2 linked regions of the Macaca fascicularis genome follow. The protein of the gene in region 1 interacts with the protein of each later gene in a pairwise test. Links are inferred from orthologs where the notes say so. Each region holds a gene or a part of one and is shown on either strand. Other genes may lie near its edges.

Region 1 (5,437 bases):
CACAGGCACAGAGAAAAAGGTCATGAGGCGCCGGAGGTGAGGAGGAAAGACCAGGAAGGGCTGCTGGCCTCCACCGGAGGCTGGAGGAGGCTAGGATCCTCCCTGAGAGCCCCGGAAGGAGCCCACACCTCCACTTCGGCCCAGCGATACTGATCGGGGACTTCTGGCCTCCAGAACTGGGAGAGAATACATTGCCGTTATTTTAAGCCCCCCAGTTCCTGGTACTTTGTTAAGACAGCTCCAGGAAACGGAAACACCCCCACGGTCCTGCATTGCTGGCACTCAGCCATCTGAGAAGGCCCCTAAGCTCGGAGTGGCCACTTCCTGCAGGGCCAGTGCTGCCTCCTGTGACTGGCTGGGCATTTGTGGGTGAAGGCAGCAGGTAACAGCCAGTGTTAATAGAGTCCCGGCCTGATGCCAAGTGCTGCACGTCCAGTTTCTTCCGCACACTCATCCTGTGAGAGGGGAGTAATTACCCCACCAGTGAGGAGGAAAGGAGGCCTGAGGCTGAAGGCCCTGTAACTGGCTGTGAGGCTCTGAACTCCAGTGGTGACCACTGTACCATCCTGGCTGAGAGATGGGAGCCGGGGGAGCAGACAGACAGGGGCTCTGACCACCCAGACACCCCCTTGCTGCAGTCAGGGCTGCCAAGCAGTTCAGTGTCCTGGGAAGCAGGCACTCAGGCCCTGCCTAGGATGCGCAGGCCTTATCACATAGAGGCAGGTGGCAGAGTGCCCCCAGGAATCCCGCTGGCCCTACAATCCCCACACATCTTCTCCATGTCTGCTCCCATCCGGGAAATGTGTTCATTTTCAGATCTACCCCAAATGCACAGATTTCATCTCGGCCTGAGGTGCCTGCCCACGGTCAAAGCATATCAAAGTCCCAGTGGATCCAGATTTATCCTCAGGGCACCAGACATCCCTGAGCTCTGTTCCAGGGAAACATGCCCAGTCTGCTTTCCCCAGCTTTAGGCGAGGCGGGGCCCCAGGGAGGCCTGGTGATGAGCAACTTGGAGCAGCAGTCCTCTCTGTGGCTGACTGGCCCACTGGGGGCCGTTTCCACCTCCTCCTGCAGCAGTGTGAGAGGCTGTCTGCTGCCTCACTGATGAGGATGTCCAGGCTTGGAGCCGTCTTGGGACTCCATTGCCATCCCTGCTGTCACTGTCCGCCCTGCCTAGCACATCTGTCCGGGCCCACTTTGTGGAAAACACTCCTTTGACGTCAGAATGACTGACACCCCATTCCAGGTCTTTCTCCTTCAGCGGGACCCAGATCCAGGCCACGTGAAGATGTTACACCTGCCAGAGCTGGAAAGAAAAATATCAACCTCGAAGCCTCTGTAGGGAGTTAGCCACAAGGGTGGCAGGATTGGATACTGGCTGCAGGGAGCGAAATTCAACGCCTGACCAGAAGGGCGTCCAGACTGGGGATGCTGAGGGGTTAGGAACTGAGAACTGGGCTCTCTTTGCACAGCTGCAGCTAAGAAGGTGCTGTCCATCCTCGAACAAAGACCAGAATTCCCCTGGCCCGGCCTAGGCTGCGGCACAGAGCACTACCGTAAGTCTCTTTTCCTCCTGGTGATGAAATCGGGGTCAAGAATCTAATATGCGAACTTCGTTATAAGCCGGCGAGCCTCTTGCAGGTCCGGAGGTACATCCACAGAACAGCTGACCTTCGGGACCGGGCCCCGGGCTCCGCTGCTGCTGAAGGCCAGGGCTGCAAAGCGAACAAAGCCCGCAGGTCCCGCGGCAAGGCGCAGGGGCTCGCAGCTCTGGGCGGGCAGGGCTTTGCGCGTGGGGGCAGGGGGGACCGACCACGTACAGACCCGTAGCCCGGCTGTCGGACCAGAGCAGCGTTTAGTCTTCAGACCTTGGGGAAAACCACAGAGGCCTCAGTGCCTGTAGCGCGTCGGGGGCTGCGGCCGTGGACGGGGCGCGGGGGTGCGGGGGCGCGGTGCACACCTGGACGCAGCCCGCCAGCCCCTTCCCAACAGGCCGCGCGGCTCCGCCGGACACGCCCCACGTGACTTCCCCGGCTCGGGGCTTCCCCGCCCAGCCGGCTGCGGCCCCCGCCCCGCCGCGCGAAACTACGACCTGGGAGCGAAATCTGTCCCGTAAGACAGCAGCGCGCAGGCGCGAATCGTGGCGGCCCGGCGCGGTGCTCCCGGCCTGCCCCGCGTGCGCGCTGACGCTGCGCAGTCTCGTTCCCGGCTGCCGCCGTCGCTGCCGCTGTCGCCGCAGCCGCCGCCGCCGCCATTGGAGTCGACGCCTCCTCAGCGCGTCCGCGTCCGGGGCTCACCGCCGTCGCCGCCTCGTCAGGGGCCCGCGCGCCCAGCAGCCGCCGCCGCCGCCGCCCGGCCGGCGCCCGGGGAGTTGGCGGCGGGGCCCGGGGCCGCGCGAGCTAGGGTGACAGGCCCGGCCTCTCGGGGAGGCCCGAGCCGGCGGGCGCCCCGGCCCCGCGTCTAGTTGTTCATGAAGCATGTCGGCCACCAGCGTGGACACCCAGGTAGCGGGGCCGGGTTACGGGGGCCGTGGCCGGGGCCGAGTCGCGGGGGCTGGGTTGGGGTCCTGGGCTGGACCGCAGAGGCCGGGGTCGCGGGGGCCGGGGTCGCGGGGGCCGGGGTCGCACGTGACCGCGCCTCGGGGCCTGCCGAGCTCGCTGCCCGCTGGAGACCAGTTCTCTGGTGAATAACTTTGTGTTTCCTTTTTTCCGCGGGTTGTGTGTACCCCACGTCCCGGCCTGCGGCGGTGCAGAGAACAAAAGGACAAGATAATAAAGGTGAGCGGAGTCCCGGGACGGCCGGCGCGGGCTGGAGTGGAGGAGGACGGGGAAGGAACGGTCCAGGAAGCTGCGTCTGGGACCGGAAACTTTCTCTCTTCCGCCAGCTTCAGGGAGATAAAACTTGAGGTTGTGTGACGATTCTGGGAGATTTGGCAGGTCGAAGACAAGGGCTTCTCAAGAAGTGAAATTTTAAATGAGTGTTCAGAGTAATTTGGGCCCTTCTCTGCCCACTGCATGATCATGGATTTGCTTTGGGGAAGGGGAGGTAGGAGAGGAGGCTTTGCGGGGTGGACATGGCCGCAGGGGACGAGCGACTTGCCTTTTGCTGCCCAGTAGGGGCTGCTCTAGGAGAGGGGCAGTCCGAGGTTCTGCAGGCTAAGCTCCATATCCCGGGTAGTTTCAGCCGGTTTTCCAAGTCTGTTAGCATCTCCTGTGACATTATGGCTTGGGATAAACCCTCAGAGCGCACTGGTGGGAAAATTGAAACACTTTTTTAGCTAGTTTGTGTGTCAGCTCAGGTGTAAACAAATACTGTGGTTCATCGTGTTTTAAGATTGGAAAAGGCCCAGCACTTTATTTACCTTTGCTTTCTTTTTCTGACTGAGCATAATAACAGTGGGAAGAAAAGTGGTGTGAAAGGAAGATCAATCTTCGGGCGCCCAAATCACTGAGCCAAAGGGAGAAAGCTACGCTGGGAACTGCTTAGGGCAAACCTGCCTCCCCTTCTATTCTTGAAAAAGATAGTTTCTAAGACATAAAAAGTTACATACCTCCCCCACAGTTTGCCCACAAGGAAATTCCTGGTGGACAAAGGACTGAACTCAGAGTCATTCCTCCTCACTGAGATAAATGCTTATCTGATTGCTTCGTTTGGAAAGGCTAATCAGAAACTCAAAAGAATGCAGTCTCTTACCTACCTATGATCTGGAAGCCCCCTCCCTGCTTCAAGTTGTCCTGCCTCTCCAGACCAAACCAATGTACATCTTACATTGATTGTTCTCACGACTCCCTTTATAAAATGTATAAAACTAAGCCGTGTCCTGACCACCTTGGGCACGTGTTGTCAAAACCTCCTGAGGCTGTGTCATGGGTGTGTCCTTAACCTTGGCAAAATAAATTTTCTGAATTGACTGAGACCTGTCTCAGATATTTGGGGTTCACTGTGGAGAGTCAGATAATAACTCCCAGTAGTCCTTCAGTTGCAGCCCCTTCCCTCTTAAGTTTTCTTCCCTCAGTTTCGCCATACATTTGGGCATACATTCTGCATTTGGGTTTTTGGAGGCTCCACTTCTATTTGCCACACATAGGTCTTTATTAGACCATGTCAGTTTCACCCTGGTTATGTGTTCCTTGCATTATGTGTTAACACTTAATTTGGTCAATCTCACCAAATTATGTTTAAGCCTTTATTTAAAATTTAGCTTAAATTATTGAAAGTTTCCTGTCACCCTTCTAATTAGTTGTGTAAACCTCAGTTCTATACTGGTTTTATTCCTTTTAAAATAAAAGCATAATTTCTGCTAGAAATAGATGGAAATAGACTTTACTTAAACTTTGACTTCCGTGCTTAAAAGTAATCTTTTAAAATTTGAGGGTAATATTTTGCAACTTTTTGTTCTAGTACAAAATGGTTCTTTACATCAGAAGGATACAGTTCATGACAATGACTTTGAGCCCTACCTTACTGGACAGTCAAATCAGGTGAGTTTATTTTGTTAGCATATATTTGTTTTTAAGTTGGTTTTAATTGTCGTGTAACACACCTTTGTTGTCATTTCTGATTTTTAAATTATCCTAAACAACAAAGCAGCAGACTATAAAGTATTAGAAATGATAGAATGCTCATGAAGATGTGCCTCCTGTTAACCTTGGGCGTGAGTGGGATGAAAATGATTTACCCCGTGGAGGAGGCAGCATCCCAATGGGGCCGGTATGCAAACAGGTCTAGTTGGCTCCAGTTTTTGTGGGTCACTGATGTGTCTTGCCTTTGATGCAGTGGAGTTGTGTGTGTTTCTGAAGCTTACTGGTTATTTTTCGCTGTGGATGATTGGAATTGTGGTCTCGGGAAGCAGCTGAGAGCTGGGCTGTGGAGCAGCTGTGGAGCCAGATGCCGCCTGGTTTTCAGTCTTTTTTTTTTTGAGACAGAATCTCACTCTTTGTCACTGAGGCTGGAGTGCAATGGCACGATCTCAGCCCACTGCAAACTCTGCCTCCCGGGTTCAAGTCATTCTCCTGCCTCAGCCTCAGGAGTAGCTGGGATTACAGGCGCCCACCGCCACGTCTAGCTAATTTTTGTATTTTTAGTAGAGACAGGGTTTCTCCATGTTGGCCAGGCTGGTCTCAAACTCCTGACCTCAGGTGATCCACCTGCCTCGGCCTCACAGAGTGCTGGGATTATAAGCGTGAGGCACCACGCCTAGCCTGATTTCACTTTTAACTCCACCACTGACTGGCATGTGTCTGTGGCTTGCATTCTCTTGCCTCAACTTTCTTTTCTGTGGAAGAAAGAGAGGAGTAATTCTTTGTAGAATTGTTGGGAGGATGACATCAGATGGTGTACATAAAGCGCTGAGACAGTACCTGATACAGCAGGGCCCAGTGAGTCATAGCTGCCCTGTTTTCTTAGGTAATTCAGGCTTTCTCTGCCTTGGCAC
Region 2 (4,693 bases), on another chromosome or scaffold:
AGGGGCTCAGGAAAGCAGGCGTGGGCCCAGCTGACCGTGGATGAAGCGCAGGCTAGGTGCATAGAGCAGGTTTTCCTCCAGGTAATTCTCCCTGGAGCTGCGGTCCTGCCAACGCAGCACCTCCTCCCAGCCGGCGACAGCCCGCACAAAGGCCAGGTGGTCACTGCCACTGTCGTGGCTCAACAGTGCTTTCACCTGGGAGGGGAGAAGAGGGCAGCCGGGTCACAGGCAGGGGCTAGACAACGCCCCCTCAGAACAGCAGTGGGTGGAGGGCTCCAGGAAGGAGTCAGGACTGACCTTGTCCACCTCGGCCCGGTTCTGTAGGCTGCTGCTGAAGGGGTCCCGGGTAAGGCAGGAAACGACCACCAGTAGCGGGTGCAGGCAACGGAAGATGGCGGCCAACACTATGGCCTTGGCCAGCCGGGGGTCGGTGGAGATGTGAGCCAGGCGCTGCCCCAGGGTGGTCAGGTACTCCCGCTGGTCCAGCACCCCTGCAATGGCTCAGCTGTCAGTGCCACCCTCAGGAGCTACTCCCCGGCCCAGCCCAGCCCAGCCCAGCCCCTACATACCGATCTCCTGGAGCAAAATCACAGCCTCGTCCACTGCCTTGATGTTTGGACTGTCCACAGCCTTGGACAGGAACTCCACCGCCTAAGACAAACAGAGCCAGAGCCCGCCATGAGCCTGCCTCCCACCTGTCTGGTCCCCAGGCCAGCCCCCACCCCGCCCCACCCCACCACACCGTCTTCTCAGGCATGTGGATTTTCGCTTGCAGCACCAGGTTCTCGAGAGGCGTGCGCAGGATCTCTGGCACTTGGAAAGGGACCATTTTCTCCAGCCGGCTTCGAGGGAACAAGTGGTAGGCAAAGCCTGACTGGCAGCGGCCCGCTCGGCCCCGGCGCTGGATCACATTGGCTCTTGACACCCACACTGTCTCCAGACAGGACACCTGGAGGAGGGGGCAGGTAAGCAGCACAGATACCACTTCCTCAGTGCTTCCCCACTCCGAGTAACCCTCACCAGCCCCCAACACCAGGAACACTGAGACCCCACAAGTGTGGCCTTCTCAACACACACAAAATAGGTCTAAGGTAGATCTGGGCTGCAGACCACCTCGAAACGGAGTCCCTCCCCCAGTGGCTGGCCAGGTCCAGGAGGTAGGTGCCACCTTGGTCTTCAGGTCATAGCGTTCTTCCTTGTGCAGCCCACTGTCCACCACATGCACGATGTCATTGATTGTGATGGAAGTCTCCGCGATATTGGTGGCCAAGACAATCTTGCGCACCCCAACTGGAGGCTGCTGGAATATGGCCTTCTGATCCATCATGGGGATGTTGGAGTGCACTGGTGGGCAAGACACACACTGGTTATGGGCACTGCTTCCACCAGAATTCCCCCCTGGAATGTGGGCAGGGCAAGGATTTTGACCCCATTTTGATGAAACAGGTGCAGATAAACACTATGCCCAGTGAAAAGTGCCGCAGCTTGGTCAGAAACCGGGACCCCCGGAGTCCCAGTTGGGTCAGTCCCCAGGACAGAGGCCAGGCTGGTTTCCAAAGGTCCCTGGTCCCTCTGCCCGGGCTCTCACCTGGCAGGATGAGGTACTTGCTCTCGTGCATGCCCAGGGCCTCCTGGAGGCGCTGCTGCACTCCTTTGATCTCCTGCCACCCAGGCAGGAAGCACAGGATCCCACCTGCAAAGGAGCCCTGGGGCATGAGCCAGCTGCTTCTGCAAGCGTGGCCAGGACTGGCATGGGGCAGATGGGGAGGCACCCACCTGGTTCCCCACGAGCATCGATGTGCAGAACCAGATCAGTCACAAGGTCCAAATCGAGTGCGCATTCATCCTCAGACTGGGGTGGGGGAAGAGAGGCCACAGTCACAGCCCCGGGGTAAGGGGTCATGCCAAGGACACAGCCACCTGACTCAGTGAGACGGAGCCGCTTGACATCAACTCCAATCCTCACATGCGTGCCACGCACATGGGGTTAGTCCTCAGTTTCTATCAAGGAAACTGAGGACTGGGGAGGGTAACTTGCCCCAGGCCACCAAGCCCCAGGGCCAGGGAGGAGGGGCATCCATGGAGGAAAGGCCAAGAGTCTCGGGTGGGATGGGGGTGTCCCTCACCTCATGGTGCCGGTGCCGGTGCAGGTACTGGTGCTTGCCCAACTTGGCCAGGATGTCCTCCAGGTAGTGCTCCTTGACCGGGTACATGAAGCCAGGCACCTTGATGACAGGGCAGCCACCAAAGTATCGGGAGAAGCGCTCATTGTCCCCTGTGGCACTCATGAGCACCAGCCGCAGGGCCGGGTTGAGCCGCTGCAGGCCCTTGAGCAGGATCAGTAGAAAGTCTGTGTTCACGTCCCGCTCATGCACCTCATCCACGATGACGTGGCTCACACCCTCCAGGCTGGGGTTGCTCTGCAGCTTACGCAGCAGGATACCCACAGTGCAGAAGAGCAGGGCCCCGCCTCGGGCCGGGGGCTTACTTTCCAGCCGCACCTGGAAGCCCACGTTCCGGCGCAGGGAGGGGCCCAGTTCGTGGCTGACCCGCTGTGCCACAGACACAGCAGAGATGCGGCGAGGTTGGGTGATGATCACATTGCAGCGGGCACCGCGGCCCTCGGTCACATAGCGCTCCAGCAACAGCTGGGGGATGCGTGTGGTCTTCCCACAGCCTGTGTCCCCAGAGATGACCACCACCGGGTGCTGCTCAATGGCGTTGAGGATGGTATCCCGATGTGGATCCACAGGTAGCTGGGGGGCCTCCTGCCAGACTGGCCCTCGCCGCCGCCACAGTTCTAGCAGACTCTGGCTGAGACGTACCTCCTCTGCTTCCAACAGGGGCACATAGGGCTTGCCTGTGATAGGGTCACTGAGAGGCCCTGAGTCCTTGCCCAAGGGCAAGATGTCTTCACTCTGCAGCCGGAGTTCTGGGGCGATCCACGAACTCTCCACAGGGTACTGGGGGGCAGGGAGGCAAGCAAAACAACGAAAAAGAAATTCCTCATTACCACCCAACCAGCCACTCTGCAGGATCCGCCTGGGTCAGAGGTTGTGGCCCAACCCACTGGGCACAGGATTAATTTAGTCCGTGACTGCCCCGGGATCCTTGTGGGCAAGACTGGGCTGCTGAGGCCAGGGGGCTCCCAGGCCCCAATCTCAGTGAAGAGAATGGGGAGGTACTACTGCCTGTCGCAGGTAGAGGCCTTCAGTCTGAAGAGACGGAGGCAGACTCCAGGGGGCAAGGGTGATGAGGGATGCAGGGCCTCTTACATGGTTCAGGAAGGTCTCTATCTTGCGGAGGATGGGCTCGGGCACCTGGATGGTGCACGGTCGGCGCTGGGTCTCACCCAGCTCACGCAAAGAGGCCAGGTTATACATGGCGTGTGTAAGTGGTTCATTGTTCCTGTCCACCAGGCCCAGGCTCTGCAGGGAGACATGCAAGACTCAGTCTATGCTCTAGGGCTCCCCAAAAACCAGCCCAGACAAGCTCAGGAGCTCCGAGGCAGTTGTTGTGCCAAGTAATGTCTAAGAGATTTTGGATCTTGGCTGACATGGTGATGGAGGGAGAAATTATGAACTAGGAAAATGTAAACTTACCAAAATAAACGTTTTAAAAAATGAACTAAAGTTAATTCAGGCCAGGTGCAGTGGCTCACACCTATAATCCCAGCCCTTTGGGAGGCCAAGGCAGGCAAATCACCTGAGGTCAGGGGTTCAAGACCAGCCTGGCCAACATAGTGAAACCCCATCTCCACTAAAAATACAAAAATTAGCTGGGTGCGGTGGCTCACACCTGTAGTCCCAGCACTTTGGGAGGCCAAGGCAGGTGGATCATGAGGTCAGCAGTTCAAGACCAGCCTGGCCAAGATGGTGAAACCCCACCTCTACTAAAACTACAAAAAATTAGGCGGGCGTGGTGGCACGCGCCTGTAATCCCAGCTACTCCGGAGACTGAGGCAGAGAATTGCTTAAACCTGGAGGGGCGGAGGGTGCAATGAGCTGAGATTGTGCAACTGCACTCCAGCCTGGGCGACAGAGCGAGACTCCATCTCAAAAAAAAAAAAAAAAAAAAATTAGCCGGGCGGGTGGCCAGCACCTATAGTCCCAGCTACTAGCGAGGCTGAGGCACAAGAATCACCTGAACCCTGAAGGCAGAGGTTGCATTGAGCGGAGATCATGATGGTGCACTCCAGCCTGGGCGACAGAGCAAGACTCTGTCTCGAAGAAAATAATAATAAAGTTAATTCAAGAAAAGCTAAACGTGATGTGTCACAGCAGAACAGCCCTACGTCTGGGGAAGGCCCTGAGGAGAAACCACTCACTGTGCGACTAGAGCCCCTCCAACACCACAATAGGCCCCTGTCACCTCCGTGAATTCCCAACGTGTACCCTCGGACCAGCCAGACCAGGCCCTCAATGACGCTAGAATACACCCCACAGACTCCCTCTTCCTTTGCTGCCTCATCAAAGCCTTCCTCCCTCAATCATTCTTCCATCCCACCTCCTAGTCCCTACATGGCACCTGACCCATCTGTAACCCCATCATATAGATACACGTGGAGTTTCCTATAAATGTTGATTATAATGCAACTTGATCAAACAAGCCACTGCAAGGAAAACACTGTGTCTTACCTCCTTACATACCTAAAGCCACCTCGCCAGAGATAAAACATGGCATTCCAATACCT

The links. The genes of interacting proteins can lie anywhere in the genome.
Region 2: the proteins of YTHDF1 (region 1) and DHX30 interact in a two-hybrid assay, tested with the Homo sapiens proteins (2 studies listed by BioGRID, with this or other methods). The link is inferred for Macaca fascicularis from reciprocal best matches to the Homo sapiens genes YTHDF1 and DHX30.

What each region holds. Positions count from the first base shown.
Region 1 is NC_088384.1:119,320,099-119,325,535, reverse strand, and holds the start of YTHDF1 (YTH domain-containing family protein 1), read left to right. Parts: upstream 1-2,198; 5' UTR 2,199-2,480; coding exon 2,481-2,507; intron 2,508-2,715; exon of another isoform or gene 2,716-2,755; coding exon 2,756-2,780; exon of another isoform or gene 2,781-2,909; intron 2,910-4,404; coding exon 4,405-4,484; intron 4,485-5,437.
Region 2 is NC_088376.1:110,782,331-110,787,023, reverse strand, and holds part of DHX30 (ATP-dependent RNA helicase DHX30), read right to left. Parts: intron 3,429-4,693; coding exon 3,276-3,428; intron 2,964-3,275; coding exon 2,127-2,963; intron 1,853-2,126; coding exon 1,777-1,852; intron 1,694-1,776; coding exon 1,589-1,693; intron 1,345-1,588; coding exon 1,169-1,344; intron 950-1,168; coding exon 743-949; intron 652-742; coding exon 570-651; intron 492-569; coding exon 298-491; intron 196-297; coding exon 36-195; intron 1-35.